Nothobranchius furzeri: one gene and its partner. The protein of the gene in region 1 binds, or shares a complex with, the protein of each later gene. Links are inferred from orthologs where the notes say so. Each region holds a gene or a part of one and is shown on either strand. Other genes may lie near its edges.

The links. Proteins that work in one complex are often made in the same cells at the same time.
Region 2: the proteins of nelfcd (region 1) and nelfa are in contact, whole or in part, in a crystal structure (PDB 5L3X), measured with the Homo sapiens proteins. The link is inferred for Nothobranchius furzeri from reciprocal best matches to the Homo sapiens genes NELFCD and NELFA. Residues at the interface, in XP_047296144.1 of Homo sapiens: Cys204, Gln205, Gln206, Leu207, Glu208, Phe210, Ser211, Leu214, Arg215, Leu218, Ala219, Ile221, Leu222, Asp223, Gly225, Glu226, Cys241, His242, Gly243, Glu244, His245, Thr246, Tyr247, Leu248, Phe249, Ala252, Met253, Ser255, Val256, Leu257; in NP_005654.4 of Homo sapiens: Leu23, Trp24, Ala25, Leu54, Leu58, Leu61, His62, Arg65, Pro88, Trp89, Met92, Val93, Ile96, Leu97, Phe100, Gly104, Ser105, Leu106, Leu108, Leu110, Asn116, Val117, Asp119, Ile120, Leu121, Glu123, Leu124, Arg125, Lys127, Val128.

What each region holds. Positions count from the first base shown.
Region 1 is NC_091743.1:48,862,923-48,870,789, forward strand, and holds part of nelfcd (negative elongation factor C/D), read right to left. Parts: intron 4,421-7,867; coding exon 4,306-4,420; intron 4,218-4,305; coding exon 4,122-4,217; intron 4,044-4,121; coding exon 3,903-4,043; intron 3,735-3,902; coding exon 3,605-3,734; intron 1-3,604. UniProt on the Homo sapiens protein: Essential component of the NELF complex, a complex that negatively regulates the elongation of transcription by RNA polymerase II.
Region 2 is NC_091742.1:60,235,491-60,243,597, reverse strand, and holds the end of nelfa (negative elongation factor A), read left to right. Parts: intron 1-330; coding exon 331-653; intron 654-733; coding exon 734-833; intron 834-5,245; coding exon 5,246-5,430; 3' UTR 5,431-5,800; downstream 5,801-8,107. Other genes in the region: faah2b (fatty-acid amide hydrolase 2-B), read right to left, coding at 6,245-6,420, 6,490-6,678, 6,785-6,896. UniProt on the Homo sapiens protein: Essential component of the NELF complex, a complex that negatively regulates the elongation of transcription by RNA polymerase II.

The DNA.
Region 1 (7,867 bases):
GTGTGTGTGTGTGTGTGTGGTGTGTGTGTGTGTGTGTGTGTCCTCCACATGTGCCCTAACTTCATAATAACAATGCGCCGAGCTTCAGCACTCTGGCCTGCGCACGCCGATATGTTCCGTATTTGATCATTTTTAACGGTGTTGGAGAAATCTGAAGGTGGTGAGTCATTCTGGCAGATTGTAATTAACACCTGTCTCATGCAGGTGTTCTGACATTGTAAACCTCACACGCGCTGAAGATCTGAAGTTTAGAGTGCGTCTGTCAGAGGTCAGACGCGGTCCAGCGGAACCACGGCTCACGTGTGCACAAGTGAGCACATCTGGGCTGGGCAGAAGTAATTTTACAGCATTGGTTTAAATAGCGCCATTAACGAGACACAGTGACTTAAACTCTGCAAGTTGTGAAGCGCGTTCCATCCGCGAGCCGCATCACCAAGCGGAAAGTGAATGCGTCAAGCTTAAACCAAGCTTCGTGGAGCTGTGCCGCGCGCGCGCACACACACACACACATTCAATAAGTGCACGCTGCGCAAACTGCGGCGCGCCAGACTGATACCGTCAGACTGAAGGCAGAAATGAGCTCTGCCTCCTCTGTGATAAAAACTTTTAAGAGGTTTTATAACATTTTTCATTCCAGGTCAAATTAAGATATTAGCTTCTATTTTGGGATGACGTATTAAAGTCGGGTCCGCTCCAGCCAGTGACTCCGAACCTGCAGCATGTTATTCCTGTCCGCGTGGCAGCGGATCGCAGATTCAGCCACACCATAAAACAGCAATAAGTCGGTCTGAGGCAAAAGTGAACCTCATGGCTAAAGCTTTTTCCTTTTCCCCTATAGACATTTGAGTACGCACAAGTATGGCCAGTTTACGCAGAGCAGAAGGAAGGAGATCGCTCTGGCCGCACAGGTTAAACGTTCCTACTTTAAGAAAACCGTTAAATTGCATTGTTTATGTGCTACCTGGGCTCTCTAAATATTTATTTAAAATTAAATCAAAGGAAATTGTAATGGTATCGAATGTTTATTAATTACTATTTAAAAAATGAAAGTGATGGGGAAAAAGGTCGATCATATTTTTTAACCCTGTCTGTTTAGCTTGACGTCTGATTATATATATATATATATATATATATATAGCCATGCCGTGATGTGTGTGTGTGTGTGGGGGGGGGGGGGGTGCGTCGACATGGTCGACACATAGAAGGGGGTGCGCGGCTAAATAAGTTTGGGAACCACTGGTCTAGTATCACCTGACTGTCAATGACTGTCATCAATGTATCAAATATTCAAAGAAATCCATATATAGTATTCATGGTATCATGTTCTTGACCAATTATGACAATTGAACAGACAGTCGTTGTAATGGAATGGAATGACAGTGTTTTTCCCTTCTTTGCTCAAGACTAGTCTGCATGACATTTGGTCTCAAGGTCTCATGCATTCCTTCTAACCTGCTTATTTTCAGCTCAACAGAAGAACGAAGAATGAACTCTTTTCTTTTAATTAATCAAAGAACTCTATTTTATTAAAGCTAATCCATCAAAGTGTTAGTCAATAAATAAGACGTGACCGATCTGTGAAATCAAAATATTAATTACTTTATTATAATCCTATAGAACATAAAGGTACTGTGACTTTAAGTGTTCCAACAGGACTGATTTCACGCAGCGTTAAAAGACATAACACATTCCTTTCACTGATCCGATCAGAATCTTACAGATCTGATGGAGGCGTGGTTCTGATGGTGTTTGGTAATTTTTCATTCGACAATAAACCATAACATCCGAAGTATAAAACTATGCAACGTCAGCTCTAACGCCAGTTCAAAGCGTTCCAGAGAAAGTGACGAGTGGCCAATCCTGATCTATACTCTTCATCTGAAAGAACAACGACAAGCTGAAAAATGTGTTGCTATTCCAACAGCGACAACAGTTCCTTTCAGAATAAAAGCTGAACCATCCAGACCGGGGGTCTCACCAGACGCCAATAACCTGTCGTGTACCCGGAAGTAACTCAAAGAAGGGTCTGATCGGAACCGCGGCTTTTCCTACCGGCTCGGTTCCAGAGAGGGTCCACTGGACCTCGATATTCCTGATCTACAGAGGACTTCCACGAAAGGTAGGTAGACCGGCATGATGGTGTCTCATGTGTTTCTGAACTTCCAAACCAAAGCTTAATGCGAAAACATCACCTTCATTTCTCGTCAGAACAATCGCTTCTTCGGATTTGTTGGTTCTGATTTGACATCACACGTCATCCATCCACCGTCTCATCCACTTTAGTTACACCATACATTTAGTTTTAAAGTCAGTCTAGTTTAATTAGTTAGTAATAAAATTCTTAACTTTTAAACTTGACTCTCTCTCTTCTGTTGTCTCTTACGTAGCGGTTATCTAATCCCTGCAATAAAAAGATCCAATCTTCTGCTTTAAATAACCCATCGATCCGTAAGGTGGATTTCATATTTCCTATGGAATCCCACGCCTTACGGCTCATTAAATAACTAATCTATTTCATTACAGTTGTGCATGCTGACATGTTTTGGAGAGAATGATCATTGGACTGAGAATCAACTAATCAGTTTAGATCTACAAGATCTATTCATTTAGGAAAATGTGCTAAATGTGGGCTAACTGTAGGATACAGGTACTTAATCATTTGCAAAGATGCACTGAGACAATTGAGACATGTACTAAGGCATTTGCCATTTGATAAAATGAAGTTTGGAGGTTTGTCCATGCTATTTTAAGAATGTAATTTCTGTTTCATGAAATGAGCCAAACCAATAGAGAAAAACTGTAATAATTTTCATTCTATACAAAATCTGCTGATTTTAGAAGCATTAATGTCAGTAAATCGATCTCGGCAAATATCGGTTATCGGCCATAACAGTGATCTTAATATTGGATATCGGCCCAAAAATTTCATACCGGCGCATCACTACTAGTTAAGTAAAAGTCTTTTATTTTGAAATTTCACCAGTGTTTGGTTTCCTCTCTAGTCAGATCTTTACTGCAGAGCTTGACATGTTTTGAAAGGGTAAGTGTATAAAAACAGACCTGGATCCTCATTCAAACGTTCATAGAAACTCCTAAATTCCTACGAGTGAAATTTAGAATGTGCGTACGAACAGTTAAAATCCTGATCTATGAAACATGCCGTGGCCTCTCGTATGCATGTTTCTCCACAATCGTCTGATAAGTCCCACCTGTGCGTACCCAGGTGCTCGTGTCTGTTCTCAGTCATTTACATTTAATTAACCAGGTTTGGTCACGCTACATCCTCAGCACATGAGGGGATTCCCTGCGTTCTACCCGAGAAAAAAAAAAAACTTGTCTGCTGAAGTGCAAAAGAACCAAACAAGTTGTAGAGATTTTAAATGCTGTTGATCTGTGCCTATGTACGGTTGATACATGAGGCACCTGGGGAGTAAATTTAGCAATTTCTGGGATGCGCCGCTGCACACCCAGTGGAAACGCACGCGTTGACTGTTATTAGCTGCAGATTAAGCTTCGCACGTGTTATGTGACAATTACACATGTGGTGGAAAGCCAGGAAAAGCCTAGACTGGGTAAATAAGTTTATTAAAATGTTTTTACTCACCAATGAACTCGGCCACAGGGTCGTGTTCTCCCTCGGTGCGAATTGTTCCTGCGATACTTTCATTCTCCAAGATCGGCAAGAAGAGTTGAACAAAATCGGAAGTGTAAGGAGGTGCGATCACGTCTAACACCTTAAAAAGATAAACTTTGTTTAAAGCAAAGCACAGTTGAAAAAAAAGAACAAACTTAAGTACCTAGCTTAGCGTTGTGATCTAACAGACGTGTGGTTGGTGTTTATCCACTGGGACTGGCTGCAGACTAACATTTTATTCAACCTGCGTATGTTCTTGGCCGTTTACCTCAGTGACAAAATATCTAATGAGGGAAATATCCGTGTTGAGTTTCTCCAGACATTTACGAATGTAACTGACGACAGGAAGGACGTAACCACGACTCAGGAGATGAACCATTCTGTCCAGTAGCGTCTTCTTCAGCTCCAGCTACAGTAGAAACAAAGCATCACTCAGACTTTATCAGACAGGTGAAACGTTGTGCGTGACGGTGCCTCAGAAACCCACCTGCTCCATGACGTCCAGCTGAGAGTGCTCCGTCTCAAAGAGCTTGATGAGCAGCTGGAGGACCTGCGAGTGTAGCAGCTGGTGACACGTGCAGATCTGTGCAGAAGAAATATCATGTTTGGTATTTTCACACCACCTTTAAATTGAAGGAAACTATAGCATGCACCCGCTAATCTTGTCGTACCTCATCTAGTAAAGCTAAATGAACGGGAGTATGGTCCGTTTGGAGCTGGAAGTAGCGTGGCTCTGATACAGTCCAGTCCACCCACTTTAAAACTCCCATGGCAACCACTGGAAACCTGAACACATCAACAGGGACCAGTGAAGACGTCCTTATTAACATATCCTGAAATGATTGGAGTACTGATTAAAAGAAAACTGGTTTAAAGAGTCTTATGTGTGAGAGATAACATTATTTACTAATTAAACCGCACTTCTAGGGGCACTTTGCTCACATCTCGTCACAAACTGCCTTCAAATTCAATTCAAATTCAAAAGATACTTTATTAATCCCAGAGGGAAATTAGAGTTTCAGTACACACAATTCTGAGATCAGACATACTTACATAGGCATAGACACATGACAATAACATGTCCAATAAAAGCTTTTTTCATAAAAGCTGCTTAACTCCAACTAGATACTTCATAGCTAATCTGCACGGTCATCAATCACTAATCCCTCCCCTTGGGTATCTTCCCTGAGACGTTTCTACTGGAACCGGAATCCCGCGATGCCGGAGCAAACTAGATAGCACTAAACACCAGTCGCTGTTTTCTAGGTCCAAACATCTTTTGTTGTCCGTGACTTCAAATGGTGTTTTTCTTTTTAGGACTCTAGTAGTTTGTCCTAACAACCGGCTGTTTCTCCTTCTCTGATATTATTGAGTGGAGAACCTCTCACACCAGTGGAGTTCTAGTGCTAAATAGGTGAGTGTGTAATGAATGGAGAGCCCAAGGAAGTGTGGCGGTTTGGCGAGACCAATTTAATTTGTTTCTTTCTTTCTTTTTAATCTCCAAAGTATATTTATAGCTAAAGTACATTAGAACATTGTTAAAATGTTTTAAGCTCCTTTGTTTTCCAAATTTGCCATTGCAGCTTTAACCCTCCCACTGTCCTAATGGGTGTGGCCCCGTGAGGAAAGTTGACCATTGAGCAGGATTGATGGTTGATCCCTTGAGGTCCACGTGGCAGGGGTGAGGTGGTGCTCACTCCTCACTCCTGCCACGTGGACCTCAAGGAATAAACCATCAATCCTGCTCAATGGTCAACTTTCCTCGCGGGGTCATCCATAAAGACAGTGGGAGGGTTGAGACAAAGAGGAGCAACTACTTATATTTGTGACCATTTTTTAGGTCGCCACTTGTACAACCAGGTTAACTATATAAACTGCTTATCCACATTGCATTGTTATTCTTGCTCGCCAGGTGGCATTGGAAACCCACTATAAACAATAAGTTATCTCACAATTAGGGATGCGTGATATTGGCTTTAAAACCGATATTGTCTAACTCAGCGGTTCCCAAACTTATTTAGCCGCGCACCCCCTTCTATGTCCCAACCATGTCGACGCACCCCCCCAGCCCCCACATCAGGGCATGGCTATATATATATATATATATATATATATATATATATATATATATATATCAGAGGTCAAGCTAAACAGACAGGGTTAAAAAAATATGATCGACCTTTTTCCCCATCACTTTCGTTTTTAAATAGTAATTAAAAAGCATTCGATACCATTACAATTTCCTTTGATTTAATTTTAAATAAATATTTAGAGTGCCCAGGTAGCACATAAACAATGCAATTTAACAGTTTTCTTAAAGTAGGAACGTTTAACCTGTGCGGCCAGAGCGCTCTCCTTCCTTCTGCTCTGCGTAAACCTGAGCTGGTCACCTACTTGTGCGTAATCAAATGTCAATAGGGGACAAGATATAGCCATGATGTTCACTTTTACCTCAGACCGACTTATTGCTGTTTTATGGTGTGGCTGAATCTGCGATCCGCTGCCACGTGGACCAGAATAACAAATGCTGCATGAGTTCAGGTTCGGAGTCACTGGCTGGAGCGGACCCGACTTTAATACGTCATCCCAAAATAGAAGCTAATATCTTAATTTGACCTTGAATGAAAAATGTTATAAAACCTCTTAAAAGTTTTTATCACAGAGGAGGCAGCGCTCATTTCTGTCTTCAGTCTGACGGCGCGCCGGAGTTTGCGCGGCGTGCGTGCTTATTGAATCTCTGTGTGTGTGTGTGTGTGTGTGTGTGTGTGTGTGTGTGTGTGTGTGTGTGTGTGTGTGTGTGTGTGCGTGCGCAGGGCACAGCTCCATGAAGCTTGGTTTATGCTTGACGCATTCACTTTCCGCTTGGTGATGCGGCTGGCGGATGGAACGCGCTTCACAACTTGCAGAGTTTAAGTCACTGCGTCTCGTTATTGGTGCTATTTAAACTTCTGCCCAGCCCAGATGTGCTCACTTGTGCACCCGAGAGCCGCTGGAACGCATCTGATCTGACAGACACACTCTGAACTTCAGATCTTCAGCGCGCTTTTAGTAGCCTGGATGGGAATAATTTCTTGATTTATTTAGTTACATCCACAATGTTCTGTGTGTGAGGTTTACAATGTCAGAACACCTGCATGAGACAGGGTGTTAATTACAATCTGCCAGAATGACTCGCCACCTTCAGATTTCTCCAACACCGTTAAAAATGATCAAATACGGAACATATCGGCGTGCGCAGGCCAGAGTGCTGAAGCTCGGCGCATTGTTATTATGAAGTTAGGGCACATGTGGAGGACACACACGCAAAAATATACTTGTTTTCAATTAAATTTATTGTGCCCTCTTACTATTTCTTTGGCCCACCCACAAATGAGTTTCTGGCTACGTTAAAGGTGACATCTGACAGACTTCTCTGAGCTCCGCAGCCATTACACTTTTCACCTTGCGCACCCCCTAGTGGCAGCTCGCGCACCCCCGGGGGTGCGCGCACCACACTTTGGGAATCCCTGGTCTAACTCATAATTTCAGACACTGATACCAATATTTGCTGTGTCCCTCTGTCATAAAAAAATAAATAAAAATAAAACATTTTAGGTTGCCATCATCACATATCTCCAATGATTAAACTTTAAATATTTTCTGTGCAAAATGACAACTACTTCAATTTAAGTTATTCATAGGAAAAGTGACATATTGCATCTGAATCTCATTCTCCCTAAGTGTGACGCCAAGAAGTGTGCATTAGTTAGTAATAATGTGCTCTTACTTATTATGTTATTATATTGAAGCTATGGTGATAAAACATTTATAAAGATGTTCAGAAGAGAAAAGCAAACTTTGTGTGAAGATTTTAGTTTTTGTTTGTTTGCTGTAGCGTAGCCATGTGCTGTGAGGACAGCAGATCCCAACTACTACTCCACAAACAGAAAAAACTACAGTATCTTCAGATCTAGAGGTTGACTGTTATTTTTTTTCTATTACTGATATGTGTTAAAGTCAGACACCTAAATAAAGTTAATTTAGAGTATTTATTATGCAGAAGTTAATAGTGAACGTAAAAATACATTTAAATTAAATCCTGCAACAGCACCAGGCTGCCCAAGGATGTGCCTGACTTTAAATTGGCTTTATTAAAGGACAAATATCGGCCGATGCTGATGTATAAAAACCGGTAAACATCGGCTCGATACATCAGCCAACTGATATGTCGGTCTACCCCTACTCAGATCTGTC
Region 2 (8,107 bases), on another chromosome or scaffold:
CAATGCAGCATTTTACTTCATTATTAATACGGTGAGCGTTTAAACAAACACTAGCGTCAACAGCTATTCTTCCAAGTGCAACCAGTATACGTCATCGCCCCCAGAGCGCATTGTGTGCGGAAAACATGGCGTCCTACGTGTCAAAAAATGTACTAAATATTATAGATTTATAAATAAACAGCAATACTTTGTATGTTTCTAACATAGTTTGGTACAACAGAAAACTTGTGGCTTATTAGGACACACACGTCCTCATAGCTGGAGTTCCTTTTAAAGGAGAACAGAGATCTGTTTCCTGCTTACGCTGAACCATTTTGTTCTTCTTCTCAGCAAATGCTGGAGGTTCGGGACGGGACGCGCTGCAGGCAGCTCGCCAGCCAGAGGAGTCTCCCACGACGGGGCCTGGAGCTGGAACCACCTTACCGAACCAGTACAAACAGAGGGCGCCCATGTACAACGCCAGCACCACAGCAAACCCTGCAACCCCCACTTCTCCCAGTACGCCGACCTCCACCCCAGCCAGCAATGGGCCCCCAGCAGCTGCAACCGCCAGCCAGCCTGAGACGCCCACGCAGCCGCCCAGCACCCCTCAGACTGCCACCCCCGCCCCAGCACCCACACAGCCACAGCCTAAAAAGAACCTCTCACTCACGGTACAGTGGAGGGAGAGAGAGTCGTGTTGGTGATGGTTTTTAAACTTGTGGAAGTGACGTTTCTGTTTTCTGCTCTGCAGAGAGACCAGATGTACGCCGCCCAGGAGATGTTCAAAACGGCCAACAAGGTCACCAGACCAGAGAAGGCCCTTATTCTGGGGTTCATGGCTGGATCCAGAGGTGAGGTTAGATCTGAAGATTTCCCCCTTTCAGGAATGATGTATGATTGTTTGTTTTTTTTAGAAATCTGTAAAAGTTATGGTCTGACCTTGTACTGTGGTATAATGTAGCCAATACATCTTTATTTATTTATTGCTAACCTCGTCCCCCGTCCCATAGAGCCTAATGCAATTTGAATGGAGATCCGCTCAGCATTAGTCAATGTGCCAGACGCCCACTTACCTACAGATGAGCGGGCGTGTATGTGTGCAGAAGTACCTACAGGTGCTGGCCAGTAAATTAGAATATCATCAAAAGGTTGAAAATATTTCAGTAATTCCATTCAAAACGTGAAACTTGTACATTATATTCATGCAATGCACACAGACCAATGTATTTCCAATGTTCATTACATTTAAATTTGATATTCATAAGTGACAACTAATGAAAACTCCAAATTTGGTATCTCAAAAAATTAGAATATTCTGAAAAGGCTGAATATAGAAGACACCTGCTGCCACTCTAATCAGCTGATTTACTCAAAACACCTGCAAAGGCCTTTAAAAGGTCCCTCACTCTTGTTTTGAAGGCACCACAATCATGGGGAAGACTTCTGACTTAACAGCTGTCCAAAAGACAATCATTGACACCTTGCACAAGGAGGGCAAGACACAAAAGGTGATTGCTAAAGAAGCTGGCTGTTCGCAGAGCTCTGTGTCCAAGCACATTAACAGACAGGCGAAGGGACGGAAAAAATGTGGTAGAAAAAAGTGTACAAGCTCTAGGGATAACCGCACCCTGCAGAGAATTGTGACGACAAACCCATTCAAAAATGTGGGGGAGATCCACAAAGAGTGGACTGCAGCTGGAGTCAGCGCTTCAAGAACCACCACGAGGAGACTCATGAAAGACATGGGATTCAGGTGTCGCATTCCGTGTGTCAAGCCACTCTTGAACATGAAACAGCGCAAGAAGCGTCTCGCCTGGGCCAAGGACAAAAAGGACTGGACTGATGCTGAGTGGTCCAAAGTTATGTTTTCTGATGAAAGCAAGTTCTGCATTTCCTTTGGAAATCAAGGACCCAGAGTCTGGAGGAAGAGCGGAGAAGCACAGAATCCACGTTGCATGAGGTCCAGTGTAAAGTTTCCACCGTCAGTGATGGTGTGGGGTGCCATGTCATCTGCCGGTGTTGGCCCACTCTGTTTCCTGAGGTCCAGGGTCAATGCAGCCGTCTACCAGGAAGTTTTAGAGCACTTCATGCTTCCTGCTGCTGACCAACTTTATGGGGATGCAGACTTCACCTTTCAACAGGACTTGGCACCTGCACACAGTGCCAAAACCACCAGCACCTGGTTCAAGGACCATGGTATCCCTGTCCTTGATTGGCCAGCAAACTCGCCTGACCTTAACCCCATAGAAAATCTATGGGGTATTGTGAAGCGGAGGATGCAATACGCTAGACCCAACAATGCAGAGGAGCTGAAGACGACTATCAGAGAAACCTGGGCTCTCATAACACCTGAGCAGTGCCACAGACTGATCGAGTACATGCCACGCCGCATTACTGCAGTTATTGAGGCAAATGGAGCCCCGACTAAGTATTGAGTGCTATACATGCACATTCTTTTCATGTTCATTCTTTTCAGTTGGCCAACATTAGAGAAACAAACATTTTTTCATTGGCCTTTAGAATATTCTAATTTTCTGAGATACCAGATTTGATGTTTTCATTGGTTGTCACCTATAAATATCAAAATTAAACGTAATAAACATCGGAAATACATTGGTCTGTGTGCATTGCATGAATATAATGTACAAGTTTCACGTTTTGAATGGAATTACTGAAATATTTTCAACCTTTTGATGATATTCTAATTTACTGGCCAGCACCTGTAGACTGATGCAGAGATGGTGATGTTTCTTATGGACATAACAGAAAGTAGTACGCAGCAATTAGCCATCGTTATCGTGGATGGGTGTGTTTCCAGCAGGCACAAGGCATCGCATTTTGGACACGCCCCAGAATCGTAGCTTTGCGCGGCTCTACTAAACTTACGCTTTGAATTAGTGGTTGTGTCAACTAGTAGTCAACTAGTCGACCTCACTGCTCTGTAGTGACTTGTTATGCCTGTCATAGACTAGTCGCTGCCACGTGTTAATGACCGACAAGATGCAGTCCTTGGAAAAGACAGCAGGTGATGAGCCCCTGCGCGTCCGATACGACGCGCTGTGCCAGAGGGTCGGTATCTTACGCCCACCGTAAAACGGACATTTAACCAGATTGTGACCTTTACGCAATTTAACCTTCCCCTCACCCCCATCCTAACCTTAACCAGCTTGCGCATGCAAAGCTCTGATTGTTGATGCGCTCCAGACATCTGCGTCCTGAGCACGGCCACAGTAACATTATCAAATCAGGTGTCGCCACCTCAAAAACTAATTTAACACGCGATCGTTCATGTCGGCTCATTTCCTTTGATGTTTTCTGTCTTTTATTTGTGTCTGATGCGTTTCGCTACTGTGGAGCAGTCGACTTGATTTTCATTACTTGATGGTTGACTTAAAAAAAAAATTAAGTCATGCAGCCCCTACTTTGAATAAATTTTTGCACGTTAAGCTTCCAGAATCCACTCTGCCGTGGTGAGTGTGTCCAGTTTGGTGGCAGGAGAATCTTGTCTCTGCTTTTTGCGGATGAAGTGGTCCTCCTAGCTTCATCCAGCTCTGACCTTCAGCTCTTGCTGGGTAGGTTCACGGTTGAGTGTGAAGCGGCTGGGATGAGGATCAGCACCTCCAAATCTGAGACCATGGTTCTCGACCGGGAAAGGGTGGGTTGCCAACTCCGGGTCGAGAGAGAGGTCCTACCTCAAGTGGAGGAGTTTGAGTATCTCGGGGTCTTGTTCACGAGTGAGGGTAGGAGGGATCGGGAGATCGACAGGCGGATTGGTTCGGCGTCTGCAGTGATGCGGACGCTGAGCCGATCTGTCGTGGTGAAGAGGGAGCTGAGCCAGAAAGCCAGGCTCTCGATTTACCGGTCGATCTACGTCCCAATCCTCACCTATGGTCATGAGCTTTGGGTAATGACCGAAAGAACGAGATCGCGGATACAAGCGGCCGAAATGAGTTTCCTCCGTAGGGTGGCCGGGCTCAGCCTTAGAGATAGGGTGAGGAGCTCGGACATTCGGGAGGGACTCGGAGTAGAACCGCTGCTCCTCCGGATTGAAAGGAGCCAGTTGAGGTGGATTGGGCATCTGGTCAGGATGCCTCCTGGACGCCTCCCCGGGGAGGTGTTTCGGGCATGTCCTGCCGGCAGGAGGCCCCCGGGTCGACCCAGGACACGTTGGAGGGGTTACATCTCCAATCTGGTCCGGGAACGACGATGAAGCTTCCAGAATGTGTCAAGCTAAGTAGTTCAGATAGGACCAGACAGGAAGCCAAACACGAAAGCCGCGTAAAACATCCGGACACTTTCAAAATAAGTCACATGCAGATTTCTAGTTGCTTAACCAATAAAAGATGTGTGCCAACTGTGACCCCTCCGTAGCCGAGGTGAACGGAACAAAAAACGAACCAGACCTTTGGCTACATGCAGCCATCTTTCTGTTTGCTTATCACGTGATTTGTTGAAATCACGTGTGAGCTTGCAGTTCTCTGGTTGTTGCGATCTTCTGCGAGGAACGATTTTGATACCGTTTTGTGTGTAAAACGTGTATTAAATTACGCGCCGTTTACACATCCAGTGGAAAGCTGGGGTAAGTCTTTATATAAAATTATAATTCAGGAAATCAGAATCGGTGGGAAAAATCGGATTCAACCATTTAAAACAAAAAAATGTTACTTTGAAAATCTCTTTCTCGGGATGAATTTAAAATGGAAAAAACAATGGCTCAGTTTTCAAATCGACAAGCTTCTATATCAGTATTCTTTGTTTCACAGACAACAGCAGAAGTTGCACAATTTAAGGTAGATGGGGAATTTGTACACAATACCATGTAGCAGTTGGCTAACACAGACCATAGTTTTCATCTCGAGAGATAAAATGTCTGTAATTGCGGTTATGCTTTCAAATGAACAGCAAAGGGAGTGTAATGTGGCATTTAACCTGGTGGAAAAGGTACTGCTGCGCCACCTTAAAAAAAGACTGACCCTGCTCATATCAATTCAGCTAACCCAGCCAACACTAAAAGATGCACGTGTGTACAGACAGCAAAAATGCCAGGATAGCAGTGTTATCACACGGGATGAGCATCTGTGGTTGCAGATGTCTGGTTCTGCAGCCTCCTGCAGCTGTAATCACGGAAGTAGGGAGAGGGGCTTAAGGTGCAATTACATTATTTCTGCTTCTTGGTGGTGCCTTCTGAGAAAACAGCTTTTTCACTCAGTGTTACACGTGTCTGTAGCGGGAAATCAAGTGAACCTCCTTGTGTTTCCTGCAGAGAACCCATGCCCAGAGCAGGGCGACATCATCCAGATCAAGCTGAGCGAGCACACAGAGGTTCTGCCCAAGGCGGACGGCACCGGCAGCACCACCATGCTGGTGGACACAGTCTTCGAAATGAACTATTCAACAGGACAGTGGACTCGTCTGAAGAAATACAAACCTATCACAAACTCCTCCTGAGGAGCTTCGCCGGCTCAGTCCACCACCCAGAACATGTTTAGGCACACGTACGAGTATTCGCTGACATTTGGGCCAAATCCACTTCTGAGAGGCTGTCGAGGAGAGAAAGATTCTCCCTTTTACTACGCCACCAAAATGGAGAACTTATTTTTGTTTGTTTTTACTTGCCCTTTAATTGATTTTTTTTTTCCAATCATCTCATGAGTGAGCCGGCTCCAGGGGGTTGAGGGAGCAGAGAGAGTGTTTGTGCTGCTGAGGTAGCAAAGAGCAGCTGCGTGCATTTTTATGTCAAATGTTTTCAACCCAACAGCAGTGATGATATTCATCATTAGAGGCGACCAAAATGAAATAAAAGATCACTACATGGTCAGTGAGTCCACTTTTTATTAACTAAAATGAGTTTCAACATCAAACCGGTTATAAAACATTCATGATCATTTTTATCCTCGCTTTCAGCCACAGCTGTCCTGTTTTTGGCTCGGTGGATGTCTTAATTTAATCTTTTTAAGCGTTCTGGTCAGTTATTGTAAGTAAATGTGTGCTGCTCACATTTGATATCTAAATGATTCGACTGTAATCTGAGCAGAATATATATATTTTTGATGGTTAAATGAATAAAAAACCCAGGTGGAAACAAATGCTCAGCCTGAGCTGTAATCTGAGTGCAAAAATTCACAAATCTTGTGCTAAAGTGACACTTTCCACTTTTCCTTATCTGATGAAATATGAAATGAAAGATTCCTATTGGCGCAAAAATTTGCTCCACTTGAACATTCATTGCTCTGACAGGAATGCAGATCCTCTGTGATTGATATTATTTTGCTCCAGGGTCCCTCCATCCTCCAAACGTCTTCTCCAAGTAGCAAGCCACAGCGAGGGTCAGATGGTCCTGCAGCTTTCCAGAGACGACCTGCACCCCCAGAGGCAGGCCCTCCTCACCCAGACCCAGAGGACACTGGGTCACCGGTAGCCCCAGGATGTTCATGATACCTGATGGATGAGAGAACCAAGTTCGTGATCACTTTAATCTGCATCTTTTGCTAAATCTGGGTCACTAACCGGTGTAGGCGAAGTCAAAAGGTCTGAAGAGCGGGTTGTGGTGTTTGGGTGCCACTCTGGGGTGTGAGGGGTAAAGTAAAACACCGTCATGTGCGAGCAGCTTGTCGAGCTCCTCCTGCAGCTTTTCTTTTTGCTGGATGGCCAAGGATGTTGATTTAGACAAGCGCGTCTTTTCCATGAGGCCCACGGCTGAAGAGAAAACAAGTCAGTTCTCAGGTTAGCTACTGACAGCCACAGCTTGACATACATCTAAAAACTGAAGCACTAACAAATGTCAGACAATTGTTTTTCTTACTGATGGCGGCCATCGTATGGTCCGATTTTCCCATCATCCATTTCAGCAGCTCCCAGAACGGCCACTTTGGTCGACCAGGTTCCCCCATCAGCTCAGTGAAGGCCACAGGAGGCTGAAGGAGGAGACAAACATTTAGCATCCATTTATGAGTCCAAGCTTGTGGAAATCGTGATCATTTCTTCAATGTTCCAACACTTGTTTCACACCAAGAAGTCATTGCAAGGATGTGAAAATAATTTAAGGGATTAACCTACGGGCTTCAGAGTAAACAAGAGAGGGTGTCAAACTGAAGATAAAACCACACAGAGAGGCCTCGACTCTAGTTGGACAAATAAAGCAAATTGTTTAAATTAGAGGAACTTCTGTTGACAAGAAATGACGTGTTTTCAGAAGTGCTGGGCTTGCACGGGTTTGGTATGTGTGTGTGTGTGTGTGTTTTATTTGTGTGGTATAGAGGCTGGCAGCTAAGGAGATTAGGGGGATTTCTGGGCAGCAGACTACAATAAGGGCTGTGACTAAGAGACCTGCTTCCTGTTAGCCTTATTAACCGGAGAGGCAGTTAACCACCAACAAGCTGACCAACACACTCGCCAATTAATTTTTCAGTAAAGTCCATGATATCATCTCAGATTCTGGTTCTCTAATGGCAAGCTCTCAGAGCCTCTCCAGTCATGTTTCCTGAAGCAGCACTGGACAGAGACTGCTCTGGTAAAGGTCTACAATCATCTGATGGCTGCAGAAGCAGGAAGGCTCTATCGTGGTTCTGCTGGACCTCAATGAGACTTTGGACACAGTGGATCACAACATCCTATTGAACAGGCTACATTTTCTGGTTTCCATCTCTGGTTCTACATTAGACAGGCTCTCTGATTATCTTTCAAACTGAGGTTTCTCAGTGAAGGCTGAAACCATTTCCTCAGGGACTGTGGGGTCCCACAAGGCTCTGTTCTAGGACCTCCATTATTTTATTTCTATATTACCATGAAAATTAAACTAAATGATTTATACAGCATAAGCCATTTTTTCAAGACACACCATGCTGTAAAATTAGTGTAACATTACTACTACGGTGTGTCTTATAAACTCGCCATGCCGACATGGCGTTGCGTGAATTTTGCAGCATTCGTTATGTCTCGCTTGATGGTATTGCAGTAGACGTCTACGGTGATTGCGCCATGGCGCAACAGAGGGAGATGTTATGATTACGTGGGGATCACCGCCGTGAAATGCGGGGCACATGAGGGCTCCAAGGAAAGAGGCCACAGTGGGAAACACACTTGTGCAGGCAAGGGTACCGCCGTGACATGCAAGGCACAAGAGGTC